7 linked regions of the Rattus norvegicus genome follow. The protein of the gene in region 5 interacts with the protein of the main gene of each other region in a pairwise test. Links are inferred from orthologs where the notes say so. Each region holds a gene or a part of one and is shown on either strand. Other genes may lie near its edges. The genes, in order: Nif3l1, Nkapd1, Eaf1, Eaf2, Bend7, Usp20 and Ppp1r37.

Region 1 (3,500 bases), on a different chromosome or scaffold from region 5:
CCTAGGCAGAGCTCCCAAGAAGGCGGAAGCCTATTTATTAAAATTACACGCAACAGTAGGGTAAGGTTGAGGAAGAGATCCAGAAATAGTCCTACCTGTGAGGTAAAGGTCGGCCTCTACTCCTTGTAGAACGCTGCCCCCAGAACCAGCACACAGGGCCACAACTTTGACTGGAGACTCTTCAAGACAAAAGTACCAACAGGTGTTAAAGAGATACTACAACGCCTTTCAGTTTAACACTACGACTTGTACTACAATTCCAACTCTAAATGCAGACTGACTAGCCCAATGTAATGAATTATGCAGTCTTTGATTTTAAATTGGGTGTGGTTGGTGGCACACACCTTTGAACCCAGCAATTGGGAGGCAGAGGAATGTAGAGTTCTGTGAGTTCAAGGCAAGCCTGGTCTGCATAGTTTTGGGACAGCCAGGGCTTACACTGTGAGACCCTGTCCCAAAAAATAAATGCAAAGCAACAGCAAAGCCCAAGTCAGGTATGGCGATGGTGCCTGTAATCCCAGATCTGTAAGGATAGCCCTAAGTTCAGGGCCAGCTCTCAAGTCTTAAAATTTGAACTTGGACAGAATTAGTGATCCTTCCTGCCCCCACTCCCCAAGTGTGTGCCAGCATGCCTGGCTCCAAAAAGAATTTTAAAAAAATCTATGCAAATGACCGATGTTTGATACCAAAAGGGAACACAAGACAAGGGCAGTGTTCCTTCTAATGCAGCTGCACAAACCCATAAGCCCCCGGGTAATAGCAAAGTGGCAGCTCTGGGCTTTGCCTCAGTGCTAATAACAAACCTTGGCTGGGTCTGCAGTGACAAGGGGGCCAAGGGACTAAAAACAGCTGGAGAAAGAGCAACGCAGAGCAGGTGGATGGTCACGTTAAAAGCACTTGCTGCTGTTCCAGAGGGCTCAAGATTGGTTCCCAGCATCCGTGTCGTGGCTCACCACCCCCTATAATTCAGGGGGTCTGACAACACACACAGAGATCAACCTGCTTCAGCCAGGTGCTGTAAGTAAAAAGGTTTGCATCACCACAATCCAGCCCAGTCTAGACTTTTGACCTTGTGATTTTAAACCCTCCATTCCCTCTGCAACAATGACCAGTTTAGGATCAGCAGGCTTCCAACGCTGACTGGAGATGGAACACAGAATGGCTAAGAAAAAGAGATTTTCTCATTTAGGCTAGGGAGACGTAGTCCAGCCAACCCTGGTTGACATAGTAAACCAATTATCTCCCTGAGCTAATGAGTGTGAGATTCAAACTTGAGGACAAAGGCTGCCTTAGGCAAACACTGGGTAGAATTTAGGATAACACCCTGTTCCAGGAAATGAGCTAACTGTCCTTAGCAGGGGTCCTTCACCACCCACTACAGTGCCAAAGGTATTTCCCCACCAAGAGCCTCCAATGAATTCAAAGGACGATAGGCGGCCACCAATGAATTAAAAAAGTAATAGGCCCCACCAATGAGAAATAACCAACTCATGCTGTAACCTAAAGCCTACACCTGAAACAGTATAAAGGGTGTGGTCCTTTGTTCTTCAGGGTCACCTCTGTCCCGAGTACAGGGTCACCCCAGTGCACTGGATTATTAAACCTCTTGCTTATTGCATTGATCTCCATCTCCATGTTTTCGTGAATAGGATCTCCTGGATGTAGGGCTGATCTGGTCTTAAACGAGTTCTACCACTTACATGAATAATAGCAATATACACTTGAATCCCAGTACTTCGGAGATAGAAGCAAAAGGAACAGTTGTTTGAGGCCATCCTATGCCCTATAAGATCAGGTGTCAAAAACAAAACCAAAATTTGTTCAAAATCACAGTCCATCTGCCAGATGATGAGGTATTTACCTAAGGTCCTCCCCAGATGATGAGGTATTTACCTAAGGTCCTCCCCAGATGATGAGGTATTTACCTAAGGTCCTCCCCAGATGATGAGGTATTTACCTAAGGTCCTCCCCAGATGATGAGGTATTTACCTAAGGTCCTCCCCAGATGATGAGGTATTTACCTAAGGTCCTCCCCAGATGATGAGGTATTTACCTAAGGTCCTCCCCAGATGATGAGGTATTTACCTAAGGTCCTCCCCAGATGATGAGGTATTTACCTAAGGTCCTCCCCAGATGATGAAGTATTTACCTAAGGTCCTCCCCAGATGATGAGGTATTTACCTAAGGTCCTCCCCAGATGATGAAGTATTTACCTAAGGTCCTCCCCAGATGATGAAGTATTTACCTAAGGTCCTCCCCAGATGATGAGGTATTTACCTAAGGTCCTCCCCACTCCAAGAGCTAAGCGAAGATGAGGCAGCTTTAGGTGTCTTTTGATTCGTTCTATCATTGTTGCCAGGGAGACAGACTCATCCAGTGTGCACAAGCGTCCCATTCCAGTATGCAGAAGCAAAGGCTGCAGAGAAATAAAAGTTAGAGATCCCATCTGTCCCAATTCCTAAAATGTGTAGAGCTGGAATCAGTAAGGTTTACATGTGCGCTTGCGATAGGAAGCTTCAGCTGACGCTTGGGACGCAAACCTAACAAAGCATTCTAACTTCCCGGAGCTCGCACTCTCAGACACTTAACACATAATCAAGGCAGGAATGGCACACTGGGAGCTGGAGAGAGAGCTCAGCAGTTAAGAGCACTTGCTGCTCTTGCAGAAGAGCTAAGCTTAGTTCCCAGCACCCACACGGCAGCTCACAACTACCTGTAACTCTAAGGGATCCAACATCTCTCTGGTCTCCATAGGCACAGTCTACACAAGGTGCACGCATACACATGAGCACGCGCACACACACATACACATACACATACACACACACACACACACACACTCACTAAATAAATCATTTAGGAAGGGGGCACTGACTAAATGAGCTGGGTCCGGAAGGGAGTTCTTGGTTTTACTGGGATGTAAATCTTACAGAAAACCAGAAAGAAGATAAAAGGGAGTCATGTCAAGTACACTAGGAAAAGACAGGGGCAGGATGGGACACGGAAAGACATTCTAAACCAAAAGGTGAGCACAGGAGACCCAGCTCAAAAGGTTCCAGAGGGACCTATTAGCAACTAGGTTAGAGATGTTTCTTGTGATATTTTGGCAAAGAATGTGGCTGTTGTCCTAAAAGCCTGCCTGAGGTTAAATCAAAAAGTTTTCATGGAGGAAAGTCCAAGACAGCCTAATCCTGACCCTGTTGCCTGGGTACTGGTAATCACTATTAAGCACGTTTACAATGAAAAGGGATAAGCAGGGCAAAAAGAAAGAGAAAATGGAGCTTGAAGAAAAGAGTACAAAGAAATTTAATGCAGGAGCCAAAGCATGGGCTCCAGAGACAGGAGAGGCTTTGTGTGAGAGGGAGGAGGAGTGCCTCAGGGTAAGGCCCCACCCAGCTAAGCTTCTGTTCTCACTTCTGTAAATAAGGTTGGTTACCCCAACTACAGAATATGTGCCTGATCGTGCAGACATGGAAATATACAGGCAGGAAGTCAGTCAG
Region 2 (4,294 bases), on a different chromosome or scaffold from region 5:
TCCATTGAGGAGCTGTGAATCAAACCCCAGCCCCTGTGGAAAGCAGCCACCTCTCCAGTCCCTTTTTGTTTGTTTTCTGCATTCTTGCCACACACAAGCTAGCCATGTACTTGAGCGAACTTCCTGTTTCCTCAGTGCTGAGATTACAGCCATGTACATCATACATGGCTCACATTAAAATTCTTGTCACAAACAGAAACAATGCGACATAGCTACTCGAATTTAGACTGAAAGTAGATGACAACTGCCAGAAGCAAAAGCTTTTATTTCTGAGTCCTCTTCCTATGCTAGGACTACCTTGTGTTTAGCTGTCACAGGTCCCTATGCAACTGGAAGTAGAATTAACATAACTGTGTAAGCAGCAAGAGTGACCGTTACACTTCCAGCCACCTGCTACTCAGGAACAGCGGGGCACAGGTCTATAATTATAGTCACTGTGGAAGTGGTAAGTTCAAGGCCTGCCCAGAATATACGTGAGATCAAGACCAGCTAAACAACAAGCTTAGTGGTTCCCAGTGATTCACAGGTTCAATCCCCAGTACCTAACACCTAAGTACTATGATGCTGGCAGCAATAGGAACGATCAAATCAGGAGTACAGTGTGTTGACGAAAACGGGACAAGGGGGTCTTAATCTTTTCATTACAGGTGCACTATTAGGTGAGTTCTAAGTTCCCAAACTCCAAGTCTGAGTTTTCAACATCAAGCTCCTGTTCATAAATATACTGAAAACCAAAGTGTGTCTCTCATGCTTGTCCTTTGTCATTGTTGTCCCGTCATTATCTCCTCCCCAGTCACAGAGGGTGGTCTGCTGGAAGTCACTCTCATCACAGTATCTCATTACAGTATCAGACAGTCTCCTAGTCTGTCTCCTAAGCTCCGCAGCATCAGGCACCACTCACCCATCGTCTGCTTTCTACCACACATCATGTTGTAACTATCTTCATGATATAGCAATGATACTTTTCAAGCTATAATTGTTTCTTATGCATCTTTGTTATCTCACTACAAAATCCATGGTTAACTGTAAGCTTGCAACAAATGTTGACGGTAACGAGATTGTATTGCCTACCTTATTGTGAGCATCTGTATGCCGGATGACATTCCTCAGGAGGACTTTCCCCAATGGAACCCGTGACATTCTTGAATCTGAAATGAACCAATATTATGCAATAAATTTATTTTTATTAAATTACAAAGAAACGAAGAAATGAAGAAAGAAAAAAAATCACCGAACTAGAAAATCTAAGGGAAAAATTTCCTTTCACCATTATAATACCCGACTATGGTATAAGTAAGGATGAAAGGGAATGATGTAAGGCAAGTCTTTAAAATTACACAAAGCTGCTCAAGATTGTTTCTATGAGCACCGTGTTGTTTAGACCTCTCAATTCTCTGTCAAGTAGTCAAGATCCATGGGGAATTGGTTCCAGAAATCCAAGTATGGGCTGGTAGAGCACTTGCCTAGCATAAGAGCCACCCCTGGATCCAGTCCCTCTGTAACATACATGCACACACACAAAGCAATCCTAGGGTGCTCATCTCTCCCCCAGAATGTATTTGCATATAAACTATGCTCCTGTGTATTTTAAATTTGGACTGTTTTCTCAAGACAGGGTCTTAAGTGGCCTCAGCTAGCCCTTAACTCCTCTTCCTCTTACGGCTGCCAACAGACATGCTCCTCCACATTTAGGAGGAGTGGGGGTATTTAGATTAATTATGATACTTAAAACTATACAAATGTTATGTAAATGTCATGACAGAGATTAGAAACGACAAAAGAGGGAAAGGTCTGTATGTGATCAATACAGATGCAATTTTATTCTCCAAGTTGGCTGCTGTTTTAACCTATGAGGATCCCCAGTTTGGACTCTACCCCCACTTCTCTTTTCAAAATCAAGTTCCTTAAAGCTGTAACCTGCCCCCAGGCCGCATGGACCCAGGCTAAGGATATGTCAGTATACAGGCTAGAAATCAAATCTCGAATTGCCCAAAATTCGCTTGCAACGCTATAAACACGTAGATTTGAACGTATCAAACACCACGTATGACAACAGTTTAAAAAAAACCTGAATTGTAAAAAAAAGTTTAAATGACCTAAATATGTCTACTCAGGGCATTTTGTTTCCTACATTGTACAGAACTTTTCAAAACCCAGAAGACAATGATAGTCACATGTGTAGCTAGCAGGGGCTTGGTGCCACCGTCCCGATGCTCACTCACCCCTCGATCCTGAGGAAATCAGGCATCTTGTTAGTGTGAGACGAAGAACCACTCCATTACAAGATCTCCTCCGACCCAGGAAGCCAAGGAGTCAGGGCTGAAAGGCAGCTCTGCAGCTTCACCCGAGTCCTTCGTGAAAACGCAGCCTTCCCACCGGTTACAGTGCCCTCACCCGAGGCCCAGGCTACGGCTGCCTTCCCCCAGCCGAGCCCGCCAGGCGGCTCTCTCTCCGGGACCCAGGCCAGAGCGGGCGCAGGCGCGGAACGCGGCCTGCGGGCGGACCGGGGCATTCCCCGCTCTCGCTGGGCTGGGACGGCGCCCGGCGGTTCGGTTTCACTCCCGGGACAGAATGGGGACACGGGGCATGGGCACGGCCTTCCGTTGGGCCCCGGGAAGTGTCTAGCGTGCCTCAGGGGGAGCTTGAGGTTTCCAAGGGGAAGTCGGGGAAAACACCCCCATGTCTGTCAGCGGGCTCCCTGCCCCGCCACAGCCTCGGCGCTCTCCGCAGCCTTCCCTCGAAACGCCCTCCCCACACAAACACACACAAACACACCCATACCGTGCGCCGCAGCCTCGCGTGGCGGGGTGGGAGAAAAGGCGGCGGCTTCCTTCCGGGCCGGAAGTCGTGCTCCGGAGAAACGCTTCCCTCCACAGGAGACTCCCACAGAGCGGGCTCGCCGGTCGCCGTGGAAGCTGTCAGGTGCAGGAAGGAAGCCGGCGCTCTCCTGAGAGAGAAGCGGGACGAGCCCGCTGAGGAGCCAGTCCGGCACTGGAGAAAAGAACCGGAACTGGATATAGAGACACCACTCTAATTTGCACTCCCCGGACTCAGTTAGACGGTGTACCGGGCCTGGTTACCATGGTAACTAGAGTCACAGTTTGTCTCCAAACTGAGAGAAGAGGTGCGTTCCCCCACGTTTGGATTAAGTGTGTATTCGTTGTTTATTTAATCTGACTTTACTATATAATTTGAAGACTCTAAATCTCTTTTTAAATTTTGGGCGACATTTCTCTCTTACGGGAGGAGGGTAATGGCGGGATCTTTGACTATTACTTTGAGGTAGTATTTATCAGGTGTTCCAGCTTAAGTATTAGTGTTCTTAATCCTCATCTTTGTTTTGAGAATAGGTGTGGGGTTGGGGATTTAGCTCAGCGGTAGAGCGCTTGCCTAGCAAACGCAAGGCCCTGGGTTCGGTCCCAGCTCCGAAAAAATGAGAGAGAGAGAGAGGGGAGAGAGGGGAGAGAGGGGAGAGAGGGGAGAGAGGGGAGGGAGAGAGAGAGAGAGAGAGAGAGAGAGAGAGAGAGAGAGAGAGAGAGAGAGAGAGAGAGAGAGAGAATAGGTGTATATATACACTACTTGCTCAAGGCAATACAGCTGTCTGTAGTTAGGAAGAACTTAAGCATATTGACTGCAATGCGCCTAGTTTTAACTACTGTACTGCCACTATGTATTTCTCCCCCTTCCCGTCTCTCTGTCCCGTCCCCCCCCCCCCCCAACCCCTCTCTCCTACACTTTCAGGTCTGGAAGGCACCAAGTCAGCCAATATTCCAGCTATTGGAACAACAGTCCTTTCTGTTTCCTCTGTATTTGTGAGGACCAGACAGAAGTACAGGTACAACGTGGGTATTTAGGAAGCGGCTCAGCTCACAGACTGTAGAAAAGCCAAGATTAAGCAGTACGTGTACACTGTTTTAGACATAGGAAGCAAGACCAGTTAAGAGCCTCCCCCAGAACAACTGCAAAAACCTTCCTTCTTCCCTGAAAGAGGAAATAAGGCCATAGCTACCCTACATGCCTTTCTCAAGTCCTGTCTCTCTAACAGGTTCCAAAGGCCTGAGTCATCACCATCATGAAGGCTTCCTCAAAGGGTCTTCTCACCCACATCTCCCAGTTCTGGAGCATGCTCGATGATTTGGCAGAAAATGATCCCGAGCGCTACCGGAACTTCATTCAGCAGGAGCTGAAAGATGGCAAACAGCTCTGTGCCGACCCAGAACCTCAACTCTGTCTACAGACAAAGATCCTAGTATGTGGAGCTACTGCAAGGGAGGAGAGGTCTTCAATAAAACTA
Region 3 (3,500 bases), on a different chromosome or scaffold from region 5:
AGCTCAGCCAAGTGCAGCGCTGGATCTGATGCCTAGTACCCTCCCCACAAGAACCCTAATCATTATCTTACCATGATTACTGTAATGCAGAAAGTTCATAGAATGAATTGACTTTTAAATAAACTCTAACACTGAGTGAACCCAAAAGTTCACTATTTTAAAATTAGGAAACAAGTTTTGTTGCTATTGCTTTGAAGTTTTTAAAATTACAGTTTTATTTATGCTATGCCTTCTACCATTTGGGTCCTGACTGAACTCAAGCCGTCAGACTTGGTGGCAAACTCCTTTCTTCACTTAGCAATCTTTTTTTTTTTTTTTTGGTTCTTTTTTTCGGAGCTGGGGACCGAACCCAGGGCCTTGCGCTTCCTAGGTAAGTGCTCTACCACTGAGCTAAATCCCCAGCCCCTTCACTTAGCAATCTTGCAAGGCCACTGTTACTTTTGTTTGGAGACAGGGTCTCGTGGACTCAGACCAGTTTCAAGCTCACTACACAGCTGCAGATGGCCTTGAACTCTTGACCCTGCTGCCTCCACCTCTCAAACGCTGGGCTTCCAGGTGTGGCTCCCCGTACTCAGTAGGCAAGGTGTTATTGACAGTATAGTCACCCCAAATATATCCTAATTGACAAGCAGTAATTTAGTAAAGTTATGCAATTATTACTTTGTAATTGTAAGTCTATGCATATAAATTGAATTCCCTACTCGGTAGTATAAGAGCAATTATGAGTCTGACAAAATTGGCTCAATTATAATTGTTCTCCCCAGTGACTTCATGTTTTAGCTCTTAAAAGCATTATTTCTTTTTCTGGATTGGAGGAAAATGTACCTTTTATTGTTGATGTGTCTGAGACAGGAGTAGCTAGGATTACTGATTGAACGGTGTGGCCCTTAGGAAACTGGACTAAGTGCTCCGGAGGTTTACAAACACCTGAGGCTATTCTGCAGGAGCCTGCCTGCCGGCACACACATGAACATAGTTGTGATCCCTCCAGCACAAGAGGCCAGGGGGACACGGAGCCGCCATACCTTGTCTTCTTGACCTGGATGCTGCTGCTGAGCTTCTCCAGCACATACTCCCCAGTGTCGTGGTTAATGATGAGCACACAGTCTTTCTGGTAAGGCCGTTTGTTCCCCTTGAACACCGTCATTGGCGGAGTGGACCCCTGTTTGCCACGAAAGTGTAAACACACCAATTATGGACCGTCTACCTTTACCAAGGGCACTGCTTCATCCAATCTTTCATCAGAGCCACTCAAAAGAGCAATGACTGATCTCTGTCTTACTCCTCTAGCTTTTCAGGCAAAAGGAAAGGAACATTATAGTAAGCACCTGGTTTTGGAAATCAAGAAATATAGCATAAAAACTTTAAATTACTAGGCAAATCTTTAAGAATGTGAGGAAATATTTCAAAGAATAGTAATGCACCAACTGAGGACAATTAGCTTTGCCCTACACTTCACAGCACGGCACTAAATAACTGGTTAGAGCAGGGAGTGATCGGTGCGTTTCTTTACAATTGAAGAGCCCAGGGCTCCCCCTCAGGCAAATGACCAGCACAGCTTTCTCCAAGGGTAAGCCAGCCCGTTAGCCTGGAGGGTGGGAACTAACCATCACCCCAAGCCTTTCAATAACTCACAGGCTGCTCTCAGGCCAAAGGACATCTTTAGGGCAGCCCCTGGATCCTCCTCCTATTTCTGGGCTCCGTGGTCTTTAGGAAGACCTCTTGTTCCTGCCTCATGGCTTTAACTGGCCTTCTAACTGCTATATTTTGACACTGTAAATTATTTGACCTTCTGCTAAGTTCAAGTAACTCCTCTCTGGTTTTCCACAAGTGTTTATTTTGGTTTGGTTCTGAAACAGGGTCTCATGTAGCCCAGGCTAGCCTTATGCTCTCAATCATCTTGCTTCCACCTCTCAAAGGCTAGGATTCCTGAAAAGCATCATATCCAGCAACTGCCATGTATTCCTATATTTAAATCCCAGACCCTAAGCTGCACAAAGGCAGGACATGTCCTCATTTGGTTTAAAGTTAATTCTTACAGCCTAGTAATGGGCCAGCACATTGGACACTGATTTAATATTTGTTAAATATAAGATTTAACTTGGTCAGAATTTTTAAAAGTATGAAACAAGGCAACAACAACAAAAACAAACTGCTTGGCTCTTCAGCCCCTTATCTGCACAGTAGAAACGCAGGTCTGCAGGGAGCTTAGGGACCCAGTACCTAACTCTGTTTTTCACTTGGGAATTAAGGTCCAACGGGAGATGATGTAATCTTCCATGGACAAGATGCAATGCAACAGGAGTGCAAATGCAGACTATTTCCTCTGCTCGAGGGCTTCCAGGTTTGCTGCAGCGTCTGCACTGTCACCAGCTACACAGAGCTTTCTGTTTGAGGACAGAGCTGTGAAAAGTGCGAAGACGCTCTTCTACTCTAACTCTGTTCTACATGTGTGTGGTGTGTGCAGGTGTGTACATGTTTTTCCTGTGTGTGGGCAGGAGAAGCCCAAAGCTGACTTTTCTTTTTTGAGGCAGGGTCTTTTATTGAACCCAACTAAGTCTAGCTAGCCAGCTTGCCCCAGGGATACCATGTCCTTGCCTCTGTAAATGTGGACTCACAAGCAGCCGCCATGTCTCTCCAGCTTTTACATGGGTTCTGAGGCACCCAAACCCCAGTCCTCCTGCTTGACTACCTCTTTTTTTTTTTTTTCCGGAGCTGGGGATCGAACCCAGGACCTTGCGCTTCCTAGGCAAGCGCTCTACCACTGAGCCAAATCCCCAACCCGCTTGATTACTTCATTCCCTCAAGCCTCTCCCCAGCCCAAAGTATGAGCGCAAACACAGTCTCCTTTCTGTTTTCCTCTGGCTGTACTGGGGATTGACCTAAGATCAGCCTGCACCGGACCCCTTACTGAATACAGAGATGTCACTCTGCCTCCTGACCTGTCTTCTGGCTGTTCTATATGTTCTCCTGCTGTGATACATAGGGCACAAAGGGCCCTTTTCTCCAGAACTGCTGGGGTAAATGTTACATATGCCTAGCAGAGGGGCCACTGTCTAGATGGAGCCTTGCCTAGTGTACTATATATGAGGGGGAAGGGGGGTCAGGAATAAGGACAAAGAACTACCTTAAACCAAGCCCCGAGACACATGAGTAACAGCCCACCTGACTCCTAAATTCCTTTTCTACTTATGTTAGCTATTTAAAAATCCAAAATAATAAAAAATAAATAAATAGAAGGAAATATGAACTGTAAATAAAACACAAGGGTTCATCACATTAGACCAACACGGGAAACAACTTACAGGGATGTGAGGCAGTGTAATTGTGACTTCATCTCCTTTGCCAACCTGGAGCTCTCCTTCACAGGAAGTGTCTATGGATGCTGGCTTAAAGTCATCTGAAAGGAAACAATGGAGAGTTCCCACTGGGTGGCTGGGAATGAGACTCCTTGGTCTTTTAATTTCAGATTAAATAAAAATAGCTGAGGGTTCCCTTAT
Region 4 (3,500 bases), on a different chromosome or scaffold from region 5:
TTCACTGTCACAGGAAAGATGTAAAAATCACTTTAGATGCCTTATCATTGCAAGTTTTAAATATTATTATCTTAAGTACTAGTATTAACCAAAAAGTTAGCTTTTGCTTTAATTGTCACATATGATTTGGGGATGTCATGAGGACAACCATACCCTATTGTCCATTATCTTTCTCTGCTCTTTATCCATAACTGATGCCCCCACATCCCTTCTTGTTGTCATTTCTTTTATGATTACTTCCATTTCTAAAGCAAACATTTCAGAGCAGCCCCCTAGTAACAAGTATTTTTTAGTGTTCATTTCTGTGGAAGTCTATTTCCCATTTATCACTTGAGACGAATTTGGTAAGCACAGAGTTCACGACTTTCAACATTAAGTAGTGTAGTGCCACTTCTGAGTCTCCAATAAGACAGTGATGTCACCTACATGGCGTTCCTCTATGTAATACGGCATAGCTCCCTTGCCATCAGAACTCTTATCTCTACCCTTAAATTTCAGATGTTTAATTCTGATGTGTCTCACCATGCATCTCTTTGGTTTATCCTGTTTTTGATTTGCTGGATTTCTTGAATCTATGGATCATGTTGTTCATCAACCTGAGAACGTTCTTGGGGATTATTTCTCCCAATTATTTTTCAGTCCCCTTTTCTTTGTCCTCTGAGAGTTCAGTTGTCTCACCTCTTGGGACTTTTGTCACTCTGCAACAAATCCTTGGGGCCCTGTTCCCCTTGTTTAAGGACACTTTCTGTTTTAGATAAGTGAATTCTCTCAGTCTATTTAGTCTCTAGTAAGTGGGCCTGCCCAGTGGATTTGCCCTGTTATTTTGTTAGTTTTATAATTTCTATTTGAGCCTTGTTTAAAATTTCTCTTTAATTCTACTCTTCACTTGCTTCAAGAAAATTTATAATTGGATCATTTTGTGAAAGCTATTTTAAGATCATCATCAGATAATTCTAACTTCTATTTTCTCTGAGAATTACTAAAGACATTACTCATTCAAGTTGTGATTTTCCTGATTTACAGTATAATACGTAACTTCCCATTCTAGGGGACAACTGACTTAAATCTTTTAGTTTAGCAGGCAGTCAGGTTCAGGCTTTGCATGCAGATGCTTGCCTATTTTTGTGACAAATGACACTCTAAATTCAGACCTTTTGCATATCTGTTTTGGTTTTCTTGGTAAATCTCAAGCAACTAGAGTTCCCATTGGTAAACTTAACAATGGAGTTTTACTAGCACTGAAGCCCAGTTCCTGGGAAAAGGAAGTCTGTGGTCTAATACAATAAAGACTGCTTTCAGGGTTGTGTGTGTGTGTGTGTGTGTGTGTGTGTGTGTGTGTGTGTGTGTCCATGAAGGGGGAGGAAAGTGAAAAGTGCTTCCCAGCAAGGTGTTTGTTAGGCAGGTGTCCCTTAGTAGTATCACCCAGTCTCAAGGTGCCTTTCAAATGGAGAGAAAACTTTGAAGGCAGGGAGGCTGTCTGGGAGATGAAAGGAATGAGCATTCCTCATAGCGTGGTATCACATGCACATGCCTTCTGCCCATGCATTTTCTGATGGAGAAGGACAGGCTCAGCCCAAGCACAAAGAAGATCTTTAAAACTTCAAGCGCTCATGATAGCACTATTCCTTTTGCTGGAGTGCTCAGCTTCCTGGTGTCTCTGAGTGATATGGGGAATTCTAGGTCCTATCTAAATCTCTTAAACTCAAATTCACAGATAACTCAAAGATGTAAGTGCAGAAACAGATGCACAGAATTTCTAGTGTAATTTCTGGATATATATTGGAAAGATGATTCAGTCATCAGAGAATAGTCAGTCATGAGGCCGAAAAGGTAGCCCAGCAGTTAAGAGCATGCTCTTCCAGAGGACCCAAGTTCCCAAAACCCATGTCAGGTGACTCACAGCCACCTGTGAGTCCTCTTCTGGCGTCTGTGGGCACCTGCATACATGTGAGCATACGCATATTCCCACACACATACACATAATTTTAAAATTGTTTAAAAAAGAAGTTAGTAGTACTCTAGAGTTAATAAACATTTGATAGAATATAGTCTAAGGATGCTATGAGCATCTCCAGGTAGATAATGTCCCTTTGCATGTAAATTAGAAAAAGAAAACTATTCTTAGTTCAACTTAGCTGATTCTCTACCTTTTCTATGAGGTATGATGTCAAAGCACTGATTTAATTAAGGTCTGACCCAGAAGTGCCACATGAAGAACCTTCTACCTATCCCACAGACTCACTCCTCAAGACACAACTGCTTTCCAGAATTGTTTCACATAATGAATTGCTTTTAGGATCTAGTAGCAAGGAATAGAACGGTTCTTTGGAATCTATCTTAATATACTATATGTTAAGATAATATAAAATATATAACTTACATCTTTATTTTTGTTTTGGTATCCAGTCATCACAAAGCTAAATTCTATTTTAATTTTAATAACTAGCATATACACTTTACATTTCCCCCTTTAATCTCTTAATTTTCTAGCTATATACATATATAGGAAAGATACCATGATACTATTTTGGAAGTAGTCAGAATAGAAGGTAAGATAAAATTCAAGATCTGGGATCTTGCTGCTGTTCAATCACTGTACCACCAATATCCCTAGTGTAGCTGGAGAGAAGCAGAGATTTCAGTTCCTTCCTTTGGAACACTCTATACCTCCCCAGAAATGCCTTCCTGCAAAAAGGGGCACAGTAACAGAAAGAAACTTCATCCTGTTTCTGTTGATTTGATGGTGCCTTAGCCCTCTGTAACTGACTGTGAACAATAAATTTCACAGAAGCTGCTACAAAGCACTGATGAAACACTTTTTCCTCCTAAATGATACTAAAATTTTTTCTGACATGCATATACTTATATAAATATGCAAATTTATATGTTATATCATTATCCTAGAAAAGTACACAATCATAAAATAAATTATGTTCTCACTAAGTCCCACTGTACATGAAAACTAACACTTAGTATTTACTTAATATCATTTACTTTTATACACTGACATTATACACAGTTAGAATTTACCTCTTTCAATATCATCCATTAGAGACGTTGGGGACAGCTTATCTTCTGATGGAGAATGCTGTACAAGGTTGGATGTCCTGGGTGGATTCCACATTTGTTGTTGCTGTTGTTCTAGTCTGCACTGGATTTTGCTACTTCCTTCTCCTCTGCAATTAAGAATAACAAATATCAAAACCAGATAAGCTAAAAGTGTCACAAATTCAACATACTAAGTTACTAAACGTTATCACTCGACCTTTAGACACCTCTCAAATGACATTTAAGGATAAGACGTTAAACCATTTAACCAATATGTATTGAGTTCCTCTGGTATGTGTGGGATACACACAGGTCCCTGGAAGGATGGGAGGACTAATGGTAAAACAATGCTACTGCTCAAACGAGCAGGCAGTAGACTTATAGATGACTACAATAGGGGAAAATATATGTGCAAGTGAAACTAGATCACGTCCATGTTTCCCACTCAGAAT
Region 5 (4,205 bases):
GCCGAGAAATTAATTGATATAAGAACCTACCTAAGAACATGGGTTGTGTCTCTTTGGTCTCCCCATTAACATCGTTGCTGAATTCTGAGATTTTATACACCTCATGGTGATAATCTGGCATGAGAAAATAACCGAAAATTAGAATTTTAATGACTGCAACATATAGGGATGAGCAATTAAAGACTCCCGTCCCCATATATATAACTTACAGGTATATTTTCAAGAGCTCTCCCAGAAATTGTAGTTAATAGTAATCGTCAAACCTTGGCTTACTGTGAAGTACAAGACCTTGAAATGTTACTTGGCCTCTACAAAGCAGGTATGCTTGGCCACAGTTTTCACAGCAAGTATATTTGTGAAAAGAAAGAAAAGAAAGAGGAAAACCTTGCCAAATCACAGGCCAATGGAGTTTCCCAGATTTATTTCCACAACCCATTTTGGTGAGCACATCAATAGTATGCTTCTGAACTGCCTCTTTTCTCAGTTTACCCAGAAAATCTCAGCTTAAAAGTAAGCCCGTATTTTAAAAAAAAAAAGATATTGATGTGCTGTTTTTAAAAAGTATACTTTGAAAAGAAGCCAGACTTTTTTACCTTTCACCTAAGTGAATCTTTTGCATTCAATTATTGCCCTAACTGAACCTGTAGTAGTTTATCTTCCAAAAAAATTTGAAAAGCACCTGAATAGCAGAATCACTCAGCATAAAAAAAAAAAAGAAAGAAAGAAAGAAAGAAAGAAAGGAAAAACTCCTTATGTTAATCAAATTTTCAAATACAGCTTACGGTCTCCTGTGGAAGCCACAGCATTTTGGTGCTGTAGCTTTTTACAAAGCAAGATCTCCCCGGTATGAAAATAGAGATCCCTTCTCAACAACTATCCAAGGTTTGGGTGGGCTTGTCTTTTGTTGTTTGCCTTAGCTCTCACAGGACAACATGATAAAACGACCCTCTCTTTTAAGATAGAGTAGTTAAGTTTCCTGGGTCATAAGGAAGAAAGCAGCCTCTATTCCTGAATGGAACACATTGTATCAACAGGGCCATCACACATGGAGACACTTCCAAAGTACAAAACTCGAGTCAACACCCCTGCTGGGGAGGTGGATACCAAGGAGTCGCCAAATATTTTGAATACATGCACTACTCTATGGTTAAACAGTACAAAACTAAATTAGGGGAAACACAGATGAGCAGAGTCTCAAAAATGTCTATAATTAAACCATTTCCAGACTAGCCAAAAGTGAGCTTTATAAAATCCTCATTTCAGCTTAGCCCAGTTTGGGAAAACTCTGTCCCTTGCAACCACCCTCCAATAGTCACCTGTTTACACGTGACTTTTGCCGGGGCCCTTGGAACAACCATGTGGCTCTTTCCTCAGATGCTAATGCTAGATAAAAATCACCCAGGCAAAGTGGTCAGCTTCTCTGGTTTGGCTTTGACCCAAGTTGATTCAAAGATATTTAAAGAGGGTGGGCTCATATTAGGGCTTGTGCCACTGTGGGGTGGGGTGGGGTGCGAAGGTATCACCTCTCTCATTTTTTAAGGTGATACTCGACATTTTGACAGGTGGGTTCCTTATCTAGAGTTGTCATCATTTTTCTTTTAAAGATTCAAATCAGGAAGAAGGACTCGAACAAGAAACAGAACCCAGAGGAGACACTATTCAACTTTCTCCTCCCCCGACAAAATAAACACCTATGAAGAGTGTGCTGTACACCTGTTAGTCTGCAGGACCTAGCTGGATTTTTCTCTTTCTTTCTTATGATGACACTTGTCTGGCTGGCATTCGAGCTAGTCTTAAAACTACCTTTCCACCCAAATCACTCAACTGGAAAAGATGCTGTATGTCAACAATTTCTGCCTTGAGCTTCGATTCCCTAATGAGCTGATTCTTCTTAAAAAGAACAATGATCATCTTTTTCTCCCCTCCTTCTCTTTGGGTGGGGGGGAAAAAAACGAAAACAAAAACAAATCCCAGTCCATTCTCGGCCTGCCGGCCAGGCAAACCCTCAGCCACCCCAGCCCAGCGGCGGCCACGGCGGCGGCACCCCCGAGCGGGCTCCGCTCCCCGGTGTCATTGTTTGCTAATTTCCTGACGTGCCCTCCGACTTGTTTACCTTCAATAACACCCGGTGGGTCCCCCTCCGGCACAACTTTCCCCGCGGCGGGGCGTGTGCGGCCCGCGGGGGCCCCGGGTTCGGGCGAGGACGAGGGGGTCGGGGCGGGCGCGCCCCCGGCGTGGAGCCCGCGGGCGGCCGGGGCGCGCGGGGCCGAGTGCGCGGTGCGCGGCGCCGGCTTCCCGCCGCTGTCCCCGGGCCGGCAGCTTACCTCGGCTCACCAGTTTGAAGCTCTGGGATTTCCTGCTTCTTTTCCTCTCCGAGAACTCCATGGTGCGGGCAAGGTGGCGGCACGGCAGGAGACTGAGGCGGCCGCTGAGGCGGGCTCGTGTCACCGCCGCGGAGCCGCCAGGACCAAGGTCCGCGTCGCGATCGGCAGGGGAGGCCGAGGGACGGGAGGAACCACCGCGAGCCCGGCCGGGGGCTGCGCGCCCGGGGCGAAGTTGTCCCCGCGCGCGGCGCCGCCTTCCCGGTGTCTTAGGCGACCCCTCGGTGCCCCCTCATGTCGCCTCGCTTTTTCCCGAACGCAGCCCGCCGCAGCCCAACTTTCCGCTGGGAGCCGGGCCGGGTGGGGGCGCGGAGCTGCGGGGTGCTCGCCGCGGCCCGCCTGGGCTCAGCCTGCGGACGCGGCCCGGGAGACGCGGCGAGCCGAGGGAGGGCGGCGGCGGCGGGTGCGGAGCGGCGGCCGGGGCGCTGACCGCCCCCGCGGGAGGAGGGGCCGCGCCGGCGGAGGGGGCGGCGCCGCCGGGACCCCGGGGCCACCTGCTGGCGGAGCCGGGCCGCCGCCATCCCCTGGGGGCCGCCGCCACTGCTGGACTCGGCCGCGCGGCGACCCGGCGTGGCCCGGAGGCCGCGGCTCAAGCGTCGGTGGCCGCCCGGGGCCGGCGGAGCTGTCCCCGGGCGGACGCCGCGCTCTGCGGGGCCTCCCTCCGCCGCTCCGGGAGGCGAGCCTGCCTTTAGAAATAAGCCGAGGATCGCGGCTCCTCGGCGGCCAGCCCTCGCTCAGTCTGAGAGCCGGGCGGTGCCAGGGCCAGGCGCGGATTTTAGGCAACTTTTAGCAGGGGGTGAAGAACTTACCCATCCGCGCTCTGCGAGCAAACGGGGAGAAATTTGAGAATGGACTGCTGAGACGACTATGGGATGGAGCAAACTTCAATTCTTTACCCCCATCCTGGGGGCTGGAGGGGAAGTTATATGCAAAGGGGGTGCTTGGAATGGTGTTTTGGGGAGAGGAATACAAGAGGTGAGGAGTGCAAGGGGGTGCAGGCTCCTGGAGAAACAGTGGTCATAGCAGGTGCCTAGACTCTGCCACTTGAGGCAGAAATAGCAAAAATAATTGACGTCCACAAATGACCGTTGGGAGTTTTATGTAATATTTTTCTCTGGGGTGCACTTACTGTAGGCGCCATTTCTTACCACATGTTTTAAGCGGGAATAGAAAAGATTTTTTTTTTTTTAACATCACCTGGGAATGGTAGTGTGGGAACATGATCTGACAAGCTTAAAAGTACTGCCTCCAAATCTACGGTTTCTAGACCAAAGTACAAAGGGGAAGAAGGGACGGGCAGCTGCTGCTCCAGCACCTTGGTAAGGTCAGGTTGCTCCAAAGAATAGAGAGGAAAGCGGGGAGGGGGCGGGGGTGTGGTGGGCTCTCTTGATGAATGAGTGAGGTGAGTTATAGTCAAATGAGATAGCCTTTCAAAAGCCACTCTGATATAACCGTGACATTAAGAGCAGGGTAACTACCAAGAAAAGGGGAATGTTAGAAGCAAACAGTGCAAGCATACCTGGGAAATAAAACCAAAGGACCGGGTGGGCATCAAGCCAACTGGAGACAGCAGGATAGACATAGGTGTGGAGCAAACGATGGGAAAGGTGGTTTAACCTGGCTGGCCTCGGTGAGACGAGAGCTTTCATTCAGCGCAACAGAGTAAAGAGAGGATTCTTTTTTTTTTTTTTTTTTCTACTTCTTTTTGAGGTAATGTTAGAGGCTGGGTCCTTTCCCCAGGAAAATTGTATGGAAGAAATGAAATGGTGTTTGGTGAAGTTCTTAGATCTCTTTAGAGTTATAAGAGGCATGGAAGGGTCCGAT
Region 6 (4,260 bases), on a different chromosome or scaffold from region 5:
TCCCCTTCTGACACCTCTAGATCTTCCTGTCCACCAGGGACCCGACCTTGGTAGTTCTGCTAATAATTCCAAATCTGGAGCTCTCCTAAGGGTGACCCTTGGAGGACCCTCAAAACTGCCCTGGGAAGCCAGGATGCAACCCATCTATCACCAAAGGTGGGGGAAGGGTCCGAGTCACAGAGCCAGGACCACAGAGCCACAACCAAACCCAGGGGACCTTCCTTGCAGCCAGTGAGTGCTCTAAACGAACTGTGGCTCCAAAATCCCAAATGGGCCAACCAGTAGGACACAGGGCCAATCTTCACCTCCTAGCTCCAGCAAGGCCCTGTTTTGTTTTTTAAGGAAAAGGGTTCTAGGTTTGGGAAGAGCCCCAAACCTAAACGCACTTTCCTTTCCAGTGACTCAGAGAAGCTCCTGGCACACGGTAGTCCGGGCCCCTGGTCTGAACCTTAAGCAGTGTGGAGCAGTGAACTGCTCTGTTGCAGATGCCTCAAAAGAGGCTTGGAAGATAAAGCTTCCCTTAGAGCTAGGAGATAGGCCTGGCTGACCTGGCGACTTTCTATGTAGACCAAGATGGCCTCAAACTCAGAGGTCTGCCTGTCTGCCTTTGCTCAGACTCCCAAGTCCTGGGATTAACAGCATGATCACCACATCTGTTTGTTTGCTTGTTTGGTTTTTTTTTTTAAATAACCCTTTGATGCCCAGGCTGTTCTAAAATTCCCTAGGCAGCTAAGTATGAAGCTGAACTTCTGACCCTCCGAAGGGTTGGGATTTTGGCATGAAACAGTACGCCCCGTTTATGCAATGCTGGAGATGGATTCCAGAGTGCCCCACACAGGCTAGGCAAGAACTCTAACCCAGCCACATCCCCAGTCCTTTAAACAAGCATTTTTCCTTATTCACTTATTTGTTTTTTTGAAGACAGGGTCTCTCTGGGTAGCCTTAGCTGGCCTGGAACTCACTGCCTCTGCCTCCCGAGTGCTGGGATTAAAGGCAAGTGACACCATTGCCCAGGTCTAACAAGCCTTTTAGAATGTTTACCATGGTCTGGCCATCCTAGATGCGACTGCTCCCTGAACATCAGCCCAGCTCCCCAGGAGGTCAGCACTCATCCCACTTCCCATAACAGACTAAAATCTGAGCTCATCTTTGAACTAGAAAAGGAAACCCCTCACTTTCCTGAAGGCTCCTTCCAGAGCACTCTCGTGTCTAAGAGCACTGCTCAGAGTGGCTGCAGTCTCTGTACCCAACACCTAGGTCAAATTTCCAGCTGCCACATTCCAAGCAATACTTGGGTCAAACGAGAATCAACTCCAACTGCCACAGCCCAGGGAGTTGGTATCACCCAGCATTCTGGCTTCAAGGATGGGAGATGTCCCTTCTCTGTGTCTTCAAAAGAGGTCTGTCTCCAAATGCTCTTGACTTTCTGATTCTTTCCATGGAGATACCAGAGTGGCCCAGTACCCTCGTGGTTAAGGGGTAAGGCATGGCTAGGCAGGGAAATTAAGAACCACTTCCGAGCCTGTGAAAATTGTACACCCAAATCCCTGGGTTCACACAGCAGATCCTAAGGATTCTCTTTTTCCCCCGCTAACAGAGACATGGTGTTGAGTGACTGCCATCTACATCTGAAGATGGCTGAACCAATCTCCAGTGTGGTCAAGACTTTGATACTTAACGCCTCTTTGATTAAAGCCAAAAAGCTGTTTCAATACATCCTGAGTTTTCTCTTTGTCCCAGTCTCAGAGGAATGTGACAACTTCAGGAAACAGCAACAAACAAAAACCCTGCCATGCCAAGGCATGGCAGACATGCCCTCCCTGCTTTAGAATAGTCTTTTAGAAAGTCTCCATCAGCCCCTCCCCCAGCCCATAAACTGGAACACCAGCTGCAGCAATAGCAGCAGCAAAGACCCACAGAGGCCGGCTGTCTCTGAAGCAAACTCTGCAGCTGTGAAAGCTCTGTCTCCAGCCCAGCTTCACCTCTCAGCTGGGTAACTTGAAGCATGGCTTACTTCTCTTACGCCTTGGTAGCCTCGTTTTTTTGAAAGAGAGACCCAACTGCATCTACTTTGTGGGATTAGATGGGAGGCTTCTAGAAGAGACTGCTTACCCCAGTGCCTGCCACAGAGTTAAGTGTCGTAAGAAGCGCTTTGCTCCAGAGGAAACTAGTAATTACGGAGTCCCTAAAAGTCCCATGTGAGCCATTAGGCACACACTTATCCATCTTATAAGTGTTTATAGATACCTTTAAAAACTACCCTCACAATATTGGGGGGTGTAAGGTGCGTATGGCAGAGCGACAATCCTCCTGGCAAAAGGAGTCATCCCAAGCTCTCGAAGGGCAGTCTCGGCCTCTGAACGTCAGTGGTACCCCTTCTAGGGACGAATGGCTGCAGGCCAACCTAGTATGGACAGTCGGCACCGGGACTGATATTCAACCCCGGCAAGGCGGTCAGCTTTTGTGAGTGAGGAATAAATGCGCATATCTGAGACTCGGAGCCCGAGAGGCCTCGCGCTGGCCTTCCTAGCGACGTGCGGCCTGCTCAAAAGCTAGGGCCGTGGTGGTTCGGGGCGGGCACAGGATGCGGTGATGGAAGGGTAGGCGGCGGGGACCTCTCACCAGGTCCCGGCCGCCCCGCAAAGCTAGACCACCCCTGCTCCAGCGGTGGCACGATAATCCCTGCTCTAGCGGCCCAGCCCCCGGCAGCAGGCAGCAGCCGTCAGAAACTCACCTGCCGTCGCAACCGCGCCGCCTGTCAGTCAAGCGCGCCCACCGCGGCGATGCGCATAGTCTTGTGGCAAAGCCTGCCGCGCCCCGCCTCCTCACCGTCAGAAGTCCAATCGGGAGAGCCTATGCCAGGGACGGGGGCGGTGTCACAGGTCACGGCCTACTAGAGGGCGGTACCAAGCACGCCGGAGGCGTGGCCGTGCGAGTGGTGAGTGCCCAAGCATGCCGGGAGTAGGGGGAGTGGCCGTGCTGCTAGGGTGTCGCCTTGTAGTTCTAAGGCTGTCCTGCTGGCGAAGAGCTTGGTCACTCGATGGGGGCGTGGCCGAGGGTGTGGCCACACGGCGGTACTTGCTCTTTTCCGAGTTCCGAGCGGGCGGCTTCCCTGCTGAGGTTTGGGGTGTGGCCTGGCAAGCCGGAGGCGGGTCTGATTCCAGCTGGCGCTCTGACGACATTTCTGCGCGCCGGAAGAGAGAGAGGTTCCTTGTACCTCGCGTCTGGTAACGCAGCGCCGAGGGTCTTGTTCCGCTATGCGGATCACCGGGAAGACATTCCGTCGGCGCCGCGCTGACTCGGAGTCGGAGGAGGATGAACAAGAATCAGAGGAGGTTCGGTACGTGTTGGGTAGGGTCTTCACAGGCCAGGAAGAGGGAGACAGGCTGACCCCATTTACTGGGAGCCAAGGTTGTTGTCTTTCAGAGGCTCCTAGGGATAACAGCCACGTTTCCCGGGCAGCGCGGCTGGGAGAGGTGCCCCGGGGTAGCATGAGTCTGACTGCCGATGACCCACCGTGTCAGAGACTCGGCAGAGAGATACGTCCTCAGAACGGAGTTTGGCATTTGAGTTTCGCAGACGGTCTCTCAACCTGTGCATCACTTTATCTTTCCCCAGGCTAAAACTGGAAGAAACGCGAGAGGTGCAGAACTTGCGGAAGAGGCCAAATGGGGTGAGGTGGGTGCCACGGGGGTGGTGGCGGCGTCATTAATGACAAAGAAATATTTCCAGCTAGAGTCACAGTCGAAAACCTCTCCTTTGACATAGTCCCTTCTCTTGACATACACTTCCACTGATCGTAGAGGGGATTAAGGTGGTGTTGTTGTTGTTGTTGTTGTTGTTGTTGTTGTTGTTGTAGATTTATTTATTATAGATAAGTAGCCGACAGAATCTTACACTGTGATTTCCAGAATATCAAATGGCTTGGCAGGAGTGTGCGACAGCTGCCTCCTTGCCTCTCAACCCCACTCCCATTCACAGCATGTGGGGCACTGACTTTTTCTTTGGCCTTTATAACTACTTTCCCACTTTTTTTCTCAATAGTGCCCATCCATCAGTGTTCCAGCCTGCAAACCTGATTGTCCCAGTTTGCTTCCTACAACTGTGACCATGACCAAAACCAACTTGTACCCCTCCTGATCATACTCAGCTATTGGGGGAATCATGGAGGGACTGAGGCAGAGACCTGGGGGAACACTGCTTACTGGCTTGTTCATATGCAGCTGTCTTATACAGCACAGGAGCACCTGCCCAGGGGGA
Region 7 (4,291 bases), on a different chromosome or scaffold from region 5:
ATTGGAGGACAGCCTGGACTACCCAATTCAATCCTGTTTCCAAAAAAAAAAAAAAAAAAAAAAAAAAAAAAAAAAAAAAAAATATATATACACACACACACACACACACACACACACACATATGCTGCAAGCGTGGCTCCACAGTGCTTGACAAGCAGTAAGCAGCTCTGGACTCTATCCCCTGACCTGCATAAAATGAGTGTTAGCACAGACCTGCAATCCCATCATTCTGGAGAGGGAGGTGGGAAGGTCAAAGTTCAATCACCCTTAGCCATACACAATCTGTGCTACATAAGACCATTTTATGTAAAAAAAAAAAAAGGGGGGGGGGCTAGAGAGATGGCTCAGTGGTTAAGAGCACTGTCTGCTCTTCAGAGGTCCTGAGTACAAATCTCAGCAACCACATGGTGGCTCACAACCAACCATCTGTAATTGAATCCAATGCCCTTTTCTGGTGTGTCAGCAACAGGATACTCATATACATTAAATAAATATTAAAAAAATAAATAAAAGGCTTAGCCTTTTCAGAAAAACGGTGGGCCAGAAACTTTGCCTGACCCTCCAGGTGCCCTGACCTCCAGGCCCCACCATCTGACCCTTATCCTGGAAGGTTCTAGGTTCTGACTTTGGCCCTGACTAAAGAGCAAGCTCTTTCCAGGTCTCAGTGCTGCCTTCATAATCATCATGGATTTAAGAGGGCTCACCCTCACCAGGCACTGTTCATGTGTGATGTCACTCAGTCTCTGGCAGACCCTGGGCCACTGCTCTTGTCAGTCATTCTGGGGAAGGGGGGTTCTGAGGCTCAGGGGATCCAGGCAACTTCTCAGCAGTTTGTAAAAGACAGCAAATGAGAAAATCAGAATTTGATCAAGCTAGCCTTTCTTTTTCCCCTTTTATTTTTATAACGAAATAGGGTTTCACCATGCAGTTCAAGCCCCCCTAGAATGGCTACTCTATGGTCCAGCCTTGGCCTCTAAGCGCTAGGCTCACAGCTGCATACAGCCACACCGGGTTTCTTAACCACTTCTGAATGGCCACACTGCTCCAACTTTCCCATTCCTGCTGTGATCTCACCACAGTGGACATCGGGTTGCTGCCAGGGTCCACTGGACTCTTCCTGTCCTCAGCACCAGTTCCAAGAAGTTCAGAACCTTAAACAAACCACCCGGCCCTGGCAGGCTCCCCAAGTCAAATCTAAATTAACCTTGGTCTCTTTGATAATTACTAGTCAAACTGGCATTTATGGCGAGCTCTCAGTGTATCATTTCCTGCAACCAAGTCCCCGCCCTCACATACATCAAAGCTACTAGCTGCCCACTCTGCTGCCCACAGCCTGGCAGTAGTGTCTGTCTGCTCCCAGACAAGCAGGTTAGCTTCTACGGAACATGGCCAGTGGGCGACCTCACTTCACAGGCTCCACCCAAGCAAAACACAATTCAGCTCAGAAACGGGATTAGCCTGAGTCCGTCTCCTCCGAAACCTTTCATCTTTCCTAGCCATCAAAGCCAATGCACACCTCCAAGTGCCCGTCCAGTTCTACCTCCCCACCAACCTTCTCCAACAGGCCTAGATCTTAGATCTTCCCATCTCCCAACGGCTTCTGTTGACCAGAAACACCTGAGTAGGTAATATTCCCCAGTCCTTCCCCAGGAAGACCCTGGTAAAAGTGGGCTCCACGTTCTGCTGCTGAACCTTACTGAGGAATTCCTCGCATACAGGCAAACTGACCACCTCGCCCTCTGCTTCTCAGCCTGCTGCCTCCGACCCTCTTTTCCCAGTCGGAGGGTTTACCAACTTCTTGTACAGTCTGGGTTTATTTCCCGTTCTCATTCCAGCCAGAAAAGCAATGGCCATAGCCGGCTACCCTTTGCGTCCTGGTTTACAGACCAGCTGGTTCTGCTCTCACCGCCCCGTGGACTCACTTACCTTTCCCCCAATACTATAGACGGGTTCTTTTCATCTATTCCTGCCTGGGTGTACCATGAACTCAAAGGCTGGCTGCCAGCCTCCCAAACTCCCAGACAAGGTTAGGGTTTGAAAACCCAATCCTGTGCACCTTTCCAACTCTCCCGCCAACACCACTGCCTCCAGCTCTAACCTAGGAACCGCTGAAACCACCGATAAGTGACATTTACCGCGGGCCACCTCCGTAGGAGTCGGCGCTCTGGCGGTCCCACCCGCCCCTAGGCTCTCTCCCGCAACCCTAGCCACAGCTACCGTGTCTCCAGGGGTCTTTGGGCTCCACAGCTCCGGACACGATGTCTTCGTCCGACGGGAACGTGACACGCTTGGCCGCAGCTTTAAGGCGCCCATCGGTTGGGGGCGAAGCTCCGCTGGAAGACCCAGCTTCGGCTGGGGCCTCCTCGGCCTCGGCATCTGCGTCGGCGTCCGCGCCCGGCCCGGGCGGAGCCTCCTGCGGCGGGATCTCCATCGCCGCCACCGCCTCCTCCTCCTCACGGGGGCCCCGGGGACATGCCCCGGGCCCCGGACTCGTCTCTCCGGGTCCTCCCGCCGTTCCGGGGCATGGGCTTGGCCGCTGCCTCAAGCGCCGCCTCCGTCTGCTCCGTTCGTCGTCGTCGTCGCCGCCGCCGCCGCCGGGAGCCCCAACGCGCCTCCGCCGAGCTCCGCGAGTACCTGCTCTTCCGCAGCCACACTTTCGCTACAAGCTAAGGCGCCCGCTGCGTACCGAGAAAAGCATAACCCCGACTCGAGATTTTGTTCTGAAAAAAATAATCTTTTCGAGGGCGACACGAAGACGGGAACAAAGAACAGTTGACTCCACGGGAAAGAGAAACGTGAGCAGCGAATCTGCAGAGCCAGAACTGCAGAACACAGAGGCGGGGCCTATGATCGCTGTCTCCCCCGAGCGCCGCGCATGCGCGAGTTTCAGCCGCTGCCGCTGCCGCCGCCGCCCCCTAACCCCCCCGCCCTCAGCCCAGCTGTCAACACTTAGGCTCCCGCACATTCGTCACAAGTCCAAGTAATTCGGGAAAGAATTCACTAGAAATCCTTTCACCGCGGTCTGCAAAAGCGCTGCGTCAGCGGTAAAAGTCGTCTTGAGCTCGATACCAGAGACTCACGTAAAATGCAAGAATTGCCGCCACAAAATTGTCCGCTGATTTCTACACACGCGTCCACAAAAAAAAAAAAAAAAAAAAAAAAAAAAAAAAAAACTTAAAATATAAAATAAGGATCAGAGTCCTTAATTTAAAAACTACCTGCTGGACAGGGTAGTGACACGCCTGTGATCCTAGCCTCGGAGAGGCTGAAGGCGGAGGTTGTGAATTCGAGGTCAGACTGGATTACATATGGAGCCTCAGACAAGCAGGTGCTACAGAGTGAGACCCAGGCGGGGCTAAGCCAAGTACTGGGAGCAGGGTAAAGTGATGGAGGTGTTGAAAAGCCAAGAGAGCCGAGCTGAATATAGGATGAGTACGTGCAGGTGACAGAAGCGACAGAAGAGCAGACTTTAGCTTCACTGTCTCGTCAAAATTGTATCAAATGTAAATGCTGGGTATTCATGAACCTGATTAAAAAACAAACTGGGAGCGGAATTCCAAAAGCTCGAGATTAATCAGCTGACCAAACCCGAGCGAACCCAGGCCACACCTCCAAGGGATCGATTTCATAGCTCGGATTCATCTCGGCACTTTCGCTTTCCCTTCTTATTAAGGGTCAACCCTTTGGTGCAAGGGACTGAAATGGTAGAACTGGACTTGATTGAACTGGACTAGAGAGCTGGGCTGGGGCTGGAGAGAGGCAGCGGTGTGAACTGATAGCAACTAAGGCTACTGCTCAGGGTAACTGTTTCCCTCTTCACATTGTGGATTAGCACACTTTTGAGACTGAGAATTACCAAAAGCCCCCTATAATTAATGCAAGCCTTCACTTACATTCTGAACTTCAATAAAAGGCATTAACTAGGTTTTCTTGTTTGGTTGGTTGGTTTGGTTTTACTGGTTCTCACGTAACCCAGGCTGCCCTCTGACTTACCATGTAGGCAAGACTGGCTTTATTATCTCTGGCTCTCCTACCTCTACACCCCATTCCCCACCCCAAGGGCTAGGATTACAGGCTTAGGGCATTGTGCTCAGCTAGGAACTGCTTTTGGATATCATCTACTGAAAGATTTCTAGTGACAAGGGACTGAAACAGGTGACACAGACTTTCTCACTAGGAGGTGGAGCAAACTGAGGAAGGGTAAATCTTCAATGCTAACCACCAACCTGCAGCATTTGCTCCCGGGCTGTCACACAAATTCGAACACCACCACCACTCCCTGTCTCCTCAG

Evidence for each region.
Region 1: the proteins of Bend7 (region 5) and Nif3l1 interact in binary tests that used the Homo sapiens proteins (3 or more experiments, as listed by UniProt). The two-hybrid records come from large-scale screens. The link is inferred for Rattus norvegicus from reciprocal best matches to the Homo sapiens genes BEND7 and NIF3L1.
Region 2: the proteins of Bend7 (region 5) and Nkapd1 interact in binary tests that used the Homo sapiens proteins (3 or more experiments, as listed by UniProt). The two-hybrid records come from large-scale screens. The link is inferred for Rattus norvegicus from reciprocal best matches to the Homo sapiens genes BEND7 and NKAPD1.
Region 3: the proteins of Bend7 (region 5) and Eaf1 interact in binary tests that used the Homo sapiens proteins (3 or more experiments, as listed by UniProt). The two-hybrid records come from large-scale screens. The link is inferred for Rattus norvegicus from reciprocal best matches to the Homo sapiens genes BEND7 and EAF1.
Region 4: the proteins of Bend7 (region 5) and Eaf2 interact in binary tests that used the Homo sapiens proteins (3 or more experiments, as listed by UniProt). The two-hybrid records come from large-scale screens. The link is inferred for Rattus norvegicus from reciprocal best matches to the Homo sapiens genes BEND7 and EAF2.
Region 6: the proteins of Bend7 (region 5) and Usp20 interact in binary tests that used the Homo sapiens proteins (3 or more experiments, as listed by UniProt). The two-hybrid records come from large-scale screens. The link is inferred for Rattus norvegicus from reciprocal best matches to the Homo sapiens genes BEND7 and USP20.
Region 7: the proteins of Bend7 (region 5) and Ppp1r37 interact in binary tests that used the Homo sapiens proteins (3 or more experiments, as listed by UniProt). The two-hybrid records come from large-scale screens. The link is inferred for Rattus norvegicus from reciprocal best matches to the Homo sapiens genes BEND7 and PPP1R37.

Annotation. Positions count from the first base shown.
Region 1 is NC_086027.1:67,484,372-67,487,871, reverse strand, and holds part of Nif3l1 (NIF3-like protein 1), read right to left. Parts: intron 2,417-3,500; coding exon 2,278-2,416; intron 1,784-2,277; coding exon of another isoform or gene 1,701-1,783; intron 180-1,700; coding exon 96-179; intron 1-95. UniProt on the Homo sapiens protein: May function as a transcriptional corepressor through its interaction with COPS2, negatively regulating the expression of genes involved in neuronal differentiation.
Region 2 is NC_086026.1:59,860,382-59,864,675, forward strand, and holds the start of Nkapd1 (uncharacterized protein NKAPD1), read right to left. Parts: upstream 2,801-4,294; 5' UTR 2,782-2,800; intron 2,431-2,781; exon of another isoform or gene 2,223-2,430; intron 1,149-2,222; 5' UTR 1,141-1,148; coding exon 1,072-1,140; intron 1-1,071. Other genes in the region: Pih1d2 (PIH1 domain-containing protein 2), read left to right, coding at 4,073-4,249.
Region 3 is NC_086034.1:6,707,727-6,711,226, reverse strand, and holds part of Eaf1 (ELL-associated factor 1), read right to left. Parts: intron 3,401-3,500; coding exon 3,306-3,400; intron 1,163-3,305; coding exon 1,026-1,162; intron 1-1,025. UniProt on the Homo sapiens protein: Acts as a transcriptional transactivator of ELL and ELL2 elongation activities.
Region 4 is NC_086029.1:77,489,585-77,493,084, reverse strand, and holds part of Eaf2 (ELL-associated factor 2), read right to left. Parts: intron 3,177-3,500; coding exon 3,031-3,176; intron 1-3,030. UniProt on the Homo sapiens protein: Acts as a transcriptional transactivator of TCEA1 elongation activity. Acts as a transcriptional transactivator of ELL and ELL2 elongation activities. Potent inducer of apoptosis in prostatic and non-prostatic cell lines.
Region 5 is NC_086035.1:78,472,640-78,476,844, forward strand, and holds the start of Bend7 (BEN domain-containing protein 7), read right to left. Parts: upstream 2,801-4,205; 5' UTR 2,386-2,800; coding exon 2,325-2,385; intron 2,288-2,324; exon of another isoform or gene 2,114-2,287; intron 115-2,113; coding exon 31-114; intron 1-30.
Region 6 is NC_086021.1:34,669,225-34,673,484, reverse strand, and holds the start of Usp20 (ubiquitin carboxyl-terminal hydrolase 20), read right to left. Parts: upstream 2,801-4,260; 5' UTR 2,735-2,800; intron 2,728-2,734; exon of another isoform or gene 2,248-2,727; intron 1-2,247. Other genes in the region: C3h9orf78 (telomere length and silencing protein 1 homolog), read left to right, coding at 3,258-3,340, 3,619-3,678.
Region 7 is NC_086019.1:88,337,793-88,342,083, forward strand, and holds the start of Ppp1r37 (protein phosphatase 1 regulatory subunit 37), read right to left. Parts: upstream 2,801-4,291; 5' UTR 2,432-2,800; coding exon 2,218-2,431; intron 1-2,217. UniProt on the Homo sapiens protein: Inhibits phosphatase activity of protein phosphatase 1 (PP1) complexes.